Drosophila melanogaster: one gene and its partners. The protein of the gene in region 2 binds, or shares a complex with, the protein of the main gene of each other region. Each region holds a gene or a part of one and is shown on either strand. Other genes may lie near its edges.

Region 1 (3,751 bases), on a different chromosome or scaffold from region 2:
CCTAACATAAGGAGACGGACCCCCGAAGAAGACCAATCCGCGCCCGAAGCTCTGGACTCTGTGGTGGTCACTGGCAACTCCATACTGGAAGGCAGGGACCTGCTGGCGTGGGCCCAGAAAAAGACGCGCCACGACAAAGTGTTCCAGTACAGAGCCAGCGATCCGAATGCAACCAAACTTGTGGCCATTGAACCCACCAACGAGTTCACCAAGCGGAGGCGACAAAACAACTGGAACGAGTCGAGGATTAGCAAAAAGATGAGCAATAAACAAAACACGTAATAAAAACTATTTAATTAGTACGTTTCCTTAGAGCTTAACTTAACTTGAGCCTAGAGATCTTAGTCGTTCTATAAAAAGTGTGAAACATTTGATTGCTAGAGATATCTCAGTGTGAGATAATGAAGTTATCCCCGCAATTTTAACAATTACGTTTCAAAAGTGGCGTGAAAGTTGCTAATCGTGGCCCCATTGCCATTTCCATTGCCGCCCGTGCTGCCATTGCCGCTCGTCCCCGTCATGTTGGAGGTATTGGACGATATCTGGCCATCGAGCAGGCCGTACAGCATCTGCTGGGAGCTGACTGTGCCACTGGAGCCCGTGCTACCGCCCAGATCCTGCAGCATATCGCCCATGGCCATGCCGCCTATGCTCTGGCTGCTGCCTGTGGCGCTGTTGTCCAGGATGTTGAGAAAGTCGTGGCCGTTGAACTCGTTGTGCTGCTTCTGCATGCTGCTCTGGCTCTCCTTCATCAGTTTGTCGTACTCCTGCAGTACGCTGTTGAACTCAGCGATCTCCGCGCGATTCCTGGCCAGCACCTTGTGCTTGTAGTAGTTGTGCACCTGGGTGAGCGAGGTGCCCGTTTGGGCGAAATGGGCGCGCTCCAGTGGGACCAGCTGCAGCACCGTGGAATTCTGCAGCCGCGGCTGACTGTCATAGTAGCCGCGATACTCGCCGATAAAGCTGCGCAGGAACTCCTCGGTGGCGTCCGTCAGCAGTTGCACCGCCGACTCGGAACAGTCGGTGAAGCCGGCCAGGCGCAGCATGCCGCACATCACCTTGCGCATCGCCTGGCGGCAAGCAGAGCTGGGGATCTCCGGATATGCCTCCGGATCCCCGCGAGAGTAGGCTGTGTCCACGGTTGGTGTGAACCAAATGGGCTTCTGAAACTTTTGGCTGCCCACCAGTTCGGCTGCGTTCTCCGGCGGAAAGTCCACTTCCGGTATCATTAGGCACGGATTCAAGAGGTAATTGGAACTTCCCTATGAATTCATTGGGTAAATTAGGTAAATACTACGGTTAAACAAGAACCAAGAACTTGCATTTTTGTTGGAGTACGTTTCAATGAGGGACTGCAGCACCTCGGTTTGCTTCATCACCTCGATGGTCTGGGTGACCAGCGCACTCCTCAGCTCCAACTTGTGGCTACATGGAATATATGGTTAGTTTACCGGCTGCGTTAAAGCTTTTCTTTAGATTTATTTACTGCTTTTCTTGCGGTTGCGGATCTCCGCGCTGGCGAATCTCGTCCAGCTTAAGTTTCTTGGCCGCCGTGGGCACGTATTTGTCCGGCGTCAGTTGACCGCCGTCATCCTCTGCGGGCAGCGAGCCCCAGTGCTCTGTTTGCATGTTTATTTCGCTTAAAAACCTACGTACAACATTTACTTAACAATATATTGTTGTTTACTTATCGGGCCCTAAAATAACATGGTTGGTTATCGGGACTATCGATAAGTTTGCTTGCGCTGGGAACGAAATACTCAACTCATTGAACCAAACAGCTGATTGTCGGTAAACATCGGCACGGCCTGCAGCGGCATCTGGCAACGTTGGCCTCGAACGTTTCGTTTTCGATAATCAGAAAGCGCTGTCGTAGCTAAAGTAAATAAAGGTTATGATAAAATAGCAACAATTTGGGAAAAACCCCATACTCAGGACAGCTGGTTCTAACAATCAGGTCGCGCTTGTATTTTTGTGGCTCACGTCACACATACATGTATTCGTTTTTTCGGCCGCTGTGACAAATGGCAACGCCACTGCAGCTGGACAAGCACACAGGCATAAAATGTAATTATTTGTTTTCGTTTCACGAATTTCAAAGGTAAAAACCGATCGCAATACGTGGTGGGCAAGATAACGCAGCGACGCAGACGACGAGTGGGACTGTCCGGCGGATTGGCGGCAGCGGGATACGGCGGATACAACGGCAATAAGATGCACCAGGAGCACATGGACCTGCATGAGCCCGTGGACTTGAACAAGGTGAGTCTTTTCTAATGGGAATCGAATAGGAAGCCCCACTCTACTGCCAAATTTTCCCTCTTCCCTGCAATTCCCTGCTAATGCGGATGTCCATCAGTCCCTGGACGAAATGACGCCGGAGGAGCGAATGCGGTAAGTGAAGTGGCCTTAGAAAATCCTTTAAATCATAACAAATTTTCGGCTATCCAATCGAACAGAGCGCAGCATCAACTGATGGTGGAGAAACATCGCGGCCACGATGCCATGCACTCCGAGATGGTGATCATTCTGTTCGTCACCCTGGTTATTGCCCAGATCATCCTGGTCGAGTGGAAGAAGCGGCACTACAGATCCTACGCTTTCGTCACCCTGCTGGCCATGTGGCTCATTCCGCTGATCATCTCCTGCAGCTTCGGCTGGCTGCGCTTCATAATCATCTGGCTGGTGTTCACCTGCATCACGGCACTGGTTATGCGACGGGCCATCAGCAAGCCCATCCAGGGCACAACGCCTAGGTGAGTCAACGTAGATAAGAACGGCGACCGACGAAGGCCAGATAATAACCCATAAAATCCAATTTCAGGCTGGTCTACAAGTGGTTCTACTTCATCTACAAGCTCAGCTATGGCCTTGGCCTGGTGGGCTATCTGGTGATCATAGCCGCCTTTCTGGGCATGAATTACATGTTCTCACAGCCACCAAACACATGGATGGATGTGGGCCTGATGTTCTGCTTCTACGGCCTGTACATCGGCGTCCTGGGGCGTGATATATCCGAGATATGTTCGGATAAGATGGCGGCAGCTATTGGCGTGAGTTGACCATTGGCCAGATACCCAGTTGGAATCTTCTAACCCTCCCGTTTGTCCCACAGTACTACACACCTCAGGGTATTCCAACACGACATCTTGATCAGAATGTCTGCGCAGTGTGTGGCAATCAGTTGCTGGTCTCGGAGAAGGAAGAGGGCGTCATTGAGAACACCTACAAGTTGTCTTGTAACCACGTATTCCACGAGTTCTGTATACGTGGTTGGTGCATTGTGGGCAAGAAGCAGACGTGTCCCTACTGCAAGGAAAAGGTCGATCTCCAGAAGATGTTCCGCAATCCGTAAGCCATTCAGAGCCATCCGTTTGACTGGCCTACTTAATATTGTTTCTCCTCTAGCTGGGAGAAGCCGCACGTTTTGTACGGTCGCCTGCTGGATTGGATTCGTTGGCTGGTGGCCTGGCAGCCGCTCATCTTTTTCATAGTACAAGGCATCAACTGGATGCTGGGACTGGAGTAGATCCTGATACCGGCACTAGCTTTCCTCGGCGTCTAGTCAAGCACACACACTTCGGATTAAGTCCTGCACATGAAACCACACGGAAAACACGACGATGGAGAAACAACGACAGACCAACCTGGAGGGGCTGCGAAACACCCGCACCACTAGTACCGTCGCCGTTCATTCCCCCGCTCCCCTCCACGACTCCATTACATGAACCTGAACCATGATGACGATGAC
Region 2 (3,554 bases):
AAAGTGTCTTTGGACAGCCACAGCAGCAACAGCTGCAGCCTGCTGCACAAGCTTTCCAAGGGGGCAACATTTTCGCCCAGGCGCAGGTTCAGGTGCAAGCTCAGCCAGTGAATCCTAATCCTTTCGGTGGTTTCCAACAGCAGCAGCAGCAACCACAGTCGACGGGAATCTTTGGCCAAGCCGCAAGCCAAAATATGGGCGGAATGTTTACTCAGGCTTCTCAGCAACTACAACAGCAGCAGCAGGCAGCTGCCTCCGGATTATTTGCTCAAGCAGCAGCATCTGCATTCCCTAATCAACAACAGATGCAGCAGCAGCAACAGATGCAGCAGCAGCAACAGATGCAACAGCAACAAATGCATCAGCAGCAGCAGATGCAACAGCAACAAATGCAGCAGCAGCAACAACAATTTCAAATGCAACAGCAACAGCAAATGATGCAGCAGCAGCAGCAGCAAGCTCAACCGACCAACGAAATCCAGTCCTCAGTTTACAGTCGCATGGAGGATCTCAACGAGCAGGAAATCGAAGCATTCAAGGCGGATCAATTTCTACCAGGTGCCTTGCCATTCAAACCGCCTCCACGGAATTTTTGCTGAACCAAACACTTAATGGTACACTAGCGTATAATGTATATATTTTTACAGAAGCTGATATAATAAAATAATTAGAACTTATAAGCTAATGCATCATCATATTGAGTCGTTCCATGTTTATAGAGTAGACGGCATGCGAGCCTATCAGGTTGCGATCCCGTAAGGCCAGTTGGCAGTCCTTGAGGGTGATTACTGTGCGTTCGGTGGGTTGGCTGAAAGAAACAAAACCTAAGTTTGTGTTTCACATGAAAATCTCATTATTATTCAGGAGCTTACACTTCTTCGCAGGCGGAGAGGAAGGTCACATCGTCGTTCTGTCGCCGCATAAAGTTGGCCGTATTCAGTTCCTTGTCCAGTTCCAGCGGCGTGTCGTCGACCTTCTGCCGGGTGACGGTGTTGCGCAGCGAAGGATCACGCAACGGAGCACCTACATCGTAGTAAAAGTTTCCCTCGCCGCTGGTCTTGTAGTGCTTTCGTTTCTTGATGATTGCCGATAGTAGATCCTTGAGCAGAACTTGCACGGCCATGGCAACGTACTCGGCGACATTGTCGTCCACGGAGACAAGTCCGATTTCCCAGGCACCGATCAGAAATCGTCCCATAATGAATCCCGCGTCGGGCAGGAAAAGTTCCTGCGCGCAGTACCGCTGCGACTGAAGCTGTTGCTGTTGCTGGTCCGACGGAATACCGATCGTGGTTGGCGGACGAATGATTTGCATGTTGTCCTCGGCTACAAAGTCCAGGACGTCGCTGAGCTCAAAATTAAGGCGTTCGGCGAAGGTGCGGGAACTTCTTTTGCGCCGTTTGCTTCGGTTGCCACTACTGCTGCTGGTCTGGACGGCCGGAGGATTCTCCAGGGGAGCAAAGGCGTCGATCTTGTTGAGCAGGGCGAGCAGGAACTGATTGTGCAGGTGCAGTTTGTCAGGTGTTAGGATTTTCCGCGACTCCGCATCGAATTCCTCCTTAGTCCAACGGCTCCGAAACCAATTCTTCATGTTGGCCCGGTAACGCTCCCAGTTGTCGCCCAGAGCCACCACTAGCGCCTCCTTGGTGGCCAGAACTCTGTCGGTAAGCATTTTAGTAATGGGAATAACAACTAAACAGGAAAATCCAACTGTTTGCGAATTGCTATATAAACAAATGAATGCAGCTGATTCGAGTGACCGTTCAAAGAACGGCTGAAAATACCAGATACATTTGAGATAAAAACCGTTATTTTTGAAGAACCCTTTAAAAAAATATTGGTTTTAATCTTTAGTGTTCACAGTTTTTATTGTGTACAAGTTAGTTAGTTAAAATATAAACATTAAAGATAGAGCCCACGCCATTCACACAACATAAGATGATAATATTTGCGAAGCTATTTGATCATTAAAAAAGTAATAGAATAGAATAAATATCTTGGTTAATGTTAAAAAATTTAACATAATTTAACATAAATTGTCAATACAATGAGTATTGTATATAAATGCTACGCATAATAACATACTTAATATTGAAGGTAAACATTACACTGAAAATAACTATGGTTACATAAATATGGTATCGGATTTAGAAGGATAAGGAAAATTCTTTTAGCCTAGAAACACTCATCCTAATTGACGCGATCCCATCGCCACACGGTGCTGTCGTCGCACACGCAAACTAAAATGGAACCGTCTTTGGAGAAGGAAGTCTGTCGGATGGTGGAGTTGCTTTTGGGATGAACCAGCTGGCTACACTTTGTTAAATTGGGATCATTGCAGTCCAATTCCCAGACAAATGTTGTGCCCAGTTGATTGCCCAAGGCCAGAATCTTTTGCCAGGCGTTGAAGGCGAAGCGTACGAACCAGATCTCGCACATCTTGTAGTCAAAGTGATGCAGCACCGTGGTGGCCGACTCCTGTGGCTTAATCTCATGCCACGATTCTGAAAGTTTGCCCGGCTTCCAGCAAACAATTGAGTTCTCGCAGGATTTCGAAAAGACAAAGTCGCCGAACCACTGAACGCAATCCACATAATTTCGATGTATATCCCTTGTCGAGAAGTCCGGAAAGTGCTCCTTGATCGTGGGAAACGGACCCGTATTCTTGTTGGGACTAAAACCAGAGCTCAGCTCGATGGCCTCTTTTATATCGGGCTTATCCAGTCGCCAGAGCTTCAGTGAGTGATCCATTCCACTGGACATGATGCGATCACCGCGCAAATCAAAGTCCACAGACAACACTTCGTCGCGGTGTCCTTCTACGCCGCCGAAAACCGCCACACACACGTCCGACTGAATGTTCCAAAGGCGCAGGGAGTGATCCTTGCTGCCGGACAGAAGTAACTGCGGTCTAGTCGGATGAAACTTCAGCTCGTTAATGGCGTGCCCGTGACCAATGTAGTTTTTGCTGCACTGGTGCTTAACCGGATTGAATATGCGAATGACGCCGCGGTAACCAGCCGCGGCAAGCACAGGATCGCCGGTCACAGAGTCGTAGGACCAAGCGCATGTGTAGAAACTTTCATCGGTCTAACGAGGGCGTAACGATGATGTATGTAAGTAATAGCATATGATGAGTACTTACATCTGGGTCTGCGTAGACTTGCAGCAGTCGAATGCCTTCGCAGGACTCCTGTCCGGTGCTCCTCTCGCACTCATAAATGGAAACCCGATCCTTGCCAACGGTGGCGAACACCTGCGGCTGGCCTCTGTCCAGGAACGGATTGAACTGCACTCCGAAGATCTGATGGTTGTGGTCCTCGCGGACATGGGAGCTGCAATGCATCCGGGATATAAACATTATGACTTATGTTCTGCCTGGAAAAATCACACCTATATTTGTACAAGGGCTGAACCATTTTGGGTGCCTTGATCCGCCGACACAGGCGGTTCAATTTTCGTGTATTTGGCGATTTGCTTCTGGTGGTGGTCGTAGTAGTGCTGAACAAACTGGCGGTGTCCTCCCGATCCACGGAATTAACTTCGTGCTCATC
Region 3 (3,751 bases), about 11 Mb from region 2:
CATCCCAGTTGGTCCGATTCTCGCACTGGGGCTTCTGCAATTGCCCGTCTGCATGGTGTACAACCTGGTGATGGCCATCACCACGGACTTCCAGTCCACCACGTATACCACCTGTAATGCCTTCAACATCTTTCCCTCCACATCGGCGGCTGCCAAGTCTCAGCACAAAGTGTGGGCTCTGGCTTGCTACCTGGAGTTCCCATTTCTCATTGCCAGTGCATGGCTGCAGTTCCGATTCTATCGGAGGAATCTGCGCAGGCCGGTCCGAGGTTTCGGCTGCCTGATGGCCATCATTATGGCTGTCAGTAGTTCCAGCGTACTGCTATGGGGCACCTTCCCCCAAGAGGATGGCGACTCATTGCTGCACATAACCATCGCCTTGTCGCTATTCGTATCGTGTGCCATTTACATGGCAGGTTCCTTTGTGTGCGCCAAGTACTATATGAGCGATAGGATTGGGCAGCTGCATGAGGAATTCTCCTTGCGGTTGAAGAGCGGTCTGGTGCTCACCTACTACGTCTGGGTGGTGGTCATGTGGATTTTTTACTTTATACACCAGAAGTTTTGCTTTCCCTTGGGTGAGTAGAACCTAACCGAATGGAAGGATGTCTACAATTCTAATCCCCGGATCCTCTGCAGCCTACTCCGTATTCGGTATGGGCGAGTTCATCTCCTGTGAGTGCTTCTTTATCTATCTATGCACGGTCTACTTTGACTTCTACCACGTCTACATATGTTACGACCAACGTTTGGGTTTCTTCCTCAGCGAGATGTAAACAGTTCCCAATTCCTTATAAAATGTATTAAACAAAAACAAGCAAAAAACATAAAAGGAATGCTTAACGTTACGTCTCGTAGATGCGCACCAGGTCGTCCAGACTGATGGGATAGTGGGTGACCGGGCAGGTGCCGTGCTCCTTCATGTGGCTAACGATGCACTTCCAGCAAAAGACGTAGCCGGAAACGGAGCAGGCAGTGGGCGTCTGGATGGACAGCAGGCAGACTGGGCACTCTCCCCGCTGGGGAAGGCTCTGCTGCACTTCCTTGGGCAGCTGCTTTCTCGGCATCGCTTCGGGATTTATCAGAGTTCCACCCACTTTCCGCCGCTGGTCGTTGGAGTACCACCACTGGACGAACTGCAGGAAGAAGGCCAAGACCTCCAGCATCTTTAGGACCACGTAGGTCCACTGATCCTCTTTGGGAGGTTCGCTGGGATAGCGAAGGGTCAGCCCCAACAATCTGAAGATGGGCGAGTGGTTTGAGGCGTACTTTACGAGGTAAAAGAATGTGTGCGCCGCCTTGGCGGCATGGAAAGCATGGAATGCGCTTAGAAGGCGTTGCTCCCAGGGACTGGTGTCCTCGTGCCTGGTGATCCTGGTCCTTAGCTTCCGCTCCACGTAAGGCATGAAGGTTAGCAGTGTGGCAGAGGCGAACTGCTGCCTGCGGTTCAGCAGATCCCCAGTGGTTGTGACCGTCCTTTGCAATCCGTAAAAGCTCTCACCGAAAGAGGAGGCCCTCTTGCGCAGATACAGGTACTGCAGCAGCCAAGTCAGCAATGGCGACAGCTCCTCCTGAATCCTCAAACTCCCCCATAGTTTAAAGTCCAGGCGTAGTCCAAAGTAGTCGAATATCTTGCTCAGTGCCGGGTAAATCAGGTTGTCCAGCGTCTCTGACGCTGAAATTTCGAAGATCGACGGCACATTTTGAAGGTTCTGGCGCACATTTGCCGCTTCTGCCATTGTGTTTATAGCATTTAAATAAATGGAATTAAATTCGAATACCAATTATGTTGTTATTCTTATCAGTACTGGTGTTATCGGGCTTGGCTTGAAAACAGTCGAGTGCTCATCAATATATCGATAAGTCGTTGGCACCATCGATAGTTGGGTTAATAATCTGGCAAGATTTGTTTATTTTGTGGTGCAGCTTCGTTGTTTATTTACCAACTGTTGAAAATATATACATTTATGAATTATACAAAACCAAGAAGATGAAAACCTCTGGCGCCAGCAATACTGACGAGCTGAACAAGTCATCGCACAGCAAAGTCAGCAAAAAGTCCACTAAGTCGCGATCTAAGTCGGCGAAATTGGAGTTGACTGGAAAGAATTCCCTGTCGGCATCCGCATCATCCTCCATCGCATCCGCAGTGAGCGGGGGCGTTGCAGTGGGCAGCCTGCCGGCCACGCCCACTCACCTAAACATGGTGACAACGCCCACCACGCCAACATCTAGTCTGGGTAACTACAATCTGTTTGACGCCTCATTTGCGGTAGCAGGAAGTGGTGGGCACGGACTTGCAGGCGGCATCGCGGGCGCAGAAGCCTCTGGCAACTCCAGTCGAATGGTAAGGATGCCAATCTCAGGGCCCTCTTATGGTACAAGCTCTCTTTACTGTAGGGTCATCAGAAGAGCTATGCTGGTTTCGATCCGCGCAGCATCAAGATCTTTTGGGAGCAGCACGACCAGACCGATGTGGAACTCTCCCAGGATGTGTGCGCCCGTTTGGCGGAAGATGCCTCCTACAAAGTCTGGGAGCTGATCAATGTAAGTCGACCGTAATACACCTCTTTAATCCCTCTAACCTCTTGATCTCTCAGAATGTCAAAATATACTCGCGCCACTCGGGCGGAGTGGTGACATACGACCTGGTGAACGAAGTGCTAAAAGATGCCGATGTGCCGCCTATGCTGGGTGCGATGGACAGCGACTGGGACCGGATCGACTATGACGGCAGTTTTTACTTTCACTCGGATAAGATCTTCGAGCTGAGCGCGGAGTTTCAGAAGGAAGTCAATCTGTGCACACCTGATGATGCAGACTTTCAGAGCATCTGCCCAGTGGAGGATAAGCACATGGACCAACTAAGACAGTGTGTCCAGAGTCTTGTGACGGCAGCCCTTTTTGCGGACAGCAAATCCCAGACGGCCGCCGTCTGCCATGCTTTTCAGACACCCCTGATGGGATCTATCTACCGAGTGATTGTGAGTAAGATGGTCCAGTTGCTAGCCTTTAAGCAGCAGGACCATTTGAGCCAGCGATGCTGGCGACTGCTCCGAGCATGCAACTACAACGCCACTGCTAATCACAATGCCTGCCGGCCGGAGTACTTCAACCTGGCCGAGGTACTGGTCAGCCAGCTAATGGCACCTTACGAAACTATCAAAGCTCCACACGTCGACCCAGATCCGGGACAAACCACCTCCATCAAAATGGAGTTTGAAGAAGAACTAAAGGTTGAGCCAGACCAGTGCCATAATCCGGAAACCCAGGAAAATCCGGAGGTCATGGGAGTAGAGAAACAGGAGCAAGAACCCCAGATGTTTCCGGGTGAGAGCACCATGGAACACACAATCTACAAGCTGCAATCGGAGGAGGAGGAATTGAATCCTCAGCCGGAGGCGGAACACCTATCCAGCTACTTTGCCTGTCCAGTCGGCAATGGCCTGGTGGACGAGCTGTGTGAAACTATAGGACAGCTGGCATCTCAAAGTGGTTACCTACATGCAGAGTGCCTGTTTTTGATCAAGAGACGCCTAGCGAGATTCTTCGAAGGTCGCCACGTCAGCAGTGAGAGAGGTAAATCATCCTTACAATTTGTTAGCCTGGATCCTTATCTTTGGATTTCTTAATTAAGACTTTAGGTATATCAGTAGAGCAGTGCGCGGTCTCATTGCCCTGGGAGAATATGCCTTTCGTGAGTTTATTCCCTACATCTACAAACTGCGCGTCGAGGAAATCCCGGATAGCC

Evidence for each region.
Region 1: Ada1-2 (region 2) and Spt7 share a complex: the UniProt entries of both Drosophila melanogaster proteins name them as parts of the spt-Ada-Gcn5 acetyltransferase (SAGA) complex.
Region 3: Ada1-2 (region 2) and Saf6 share a complex: the UniProt entries of both Drosophila melanogaster proteins name them as parts of the spt-Ada-Gcn5 acetyltransferase (SAGA) complex.

What each region holds. Positions count from the first base shown.
Region 1 is NC_004354.4:17,848,419-17,852,169, reverse strand, and holds Spt7 (Spt7), read right to left. Parts: upstream 1,711-3,751; 5' UTR 1,630-1,710; coding exon 1,487-1,629; intron 1,426-1,486; coding exon 1,323-1,425; intron 1,263-1,322; coding exon 429-1,262; 3' UTR 283-428; downstream 1-282. Other genes in the region: CG32554 (uncharacterized protein), read left to right, coding at 1-282; CG15814 (uncharacterized protein), read left to right, coding at 2,215-2,262, 2,360-2,394, 2,460-2,756, 2,825-3,053, 3,116-3,351, 3,409-3,529. UniProt on the Drosophila melanogaster protein: Component of the transcription regulatory complex SAGA, a multiprotein complex that activates transcription by remodeling chromatin and mediating histone acetylation and deubiquitination. The SAGA complex predominantly acetylates histone H3.
Region 2 is NT_033779.5:11,991,111-11,994,664, reverse strand, and holds Ada1-2 (transcriptional adaptor 1-2), read right to left. Parts: upstream 1,764-3,554; 5' UTR 1,673-1,763; coding exon 873-1,672; intron 809-872; coding exon 682-808; 3' UTR 611-681; downstream 1-610. Other genes in the region: CG18789 (uncharacterized protein), read left to right, coding at 1-599; escl, read right to left, coding at 2,191-3,090, 3,146-3,335, 3,394-3,554. UniProt on the Drosophila melanogaster protein: Component of the transcription regulatory complex SAGA, a multiprotein complex that activates transcription by remodeling chromatin and mediating histone acetylation and deubiquitination. The SAGA complex predominantly acetylates histone H3.
Region 3 is NT_033779.5:814,071-817,821, reverse strand, and holds the start of Saf6 (SAGA factor-like TAF6), read left to right. Parts: upstream 1-1,871; 5' UTR 1,872-1,990; coding exon 1,991-2,347; intron 2,348-2,400; coding exon 2,401-2,547; intron 2,548-2,600; coding exon 2,601-3,579; intron 3,580-3,637; coding exon 3,638-3,751. Other genes in the region: CG15880 (uncharacterized protein), read left to right, coding at 1-578, 640-776; Pex12 (peroxin 12), read right to left, coding at 846-1,739. UniProt on the Drosophila melanogaster protein: Component of the transcription regulatory complex SAGA, a multiprotein complex that activates transcription by remodeling chromatin and mediating histone acetylation and deubiquitination. The SAGA complex predominantly acetylates histone H3.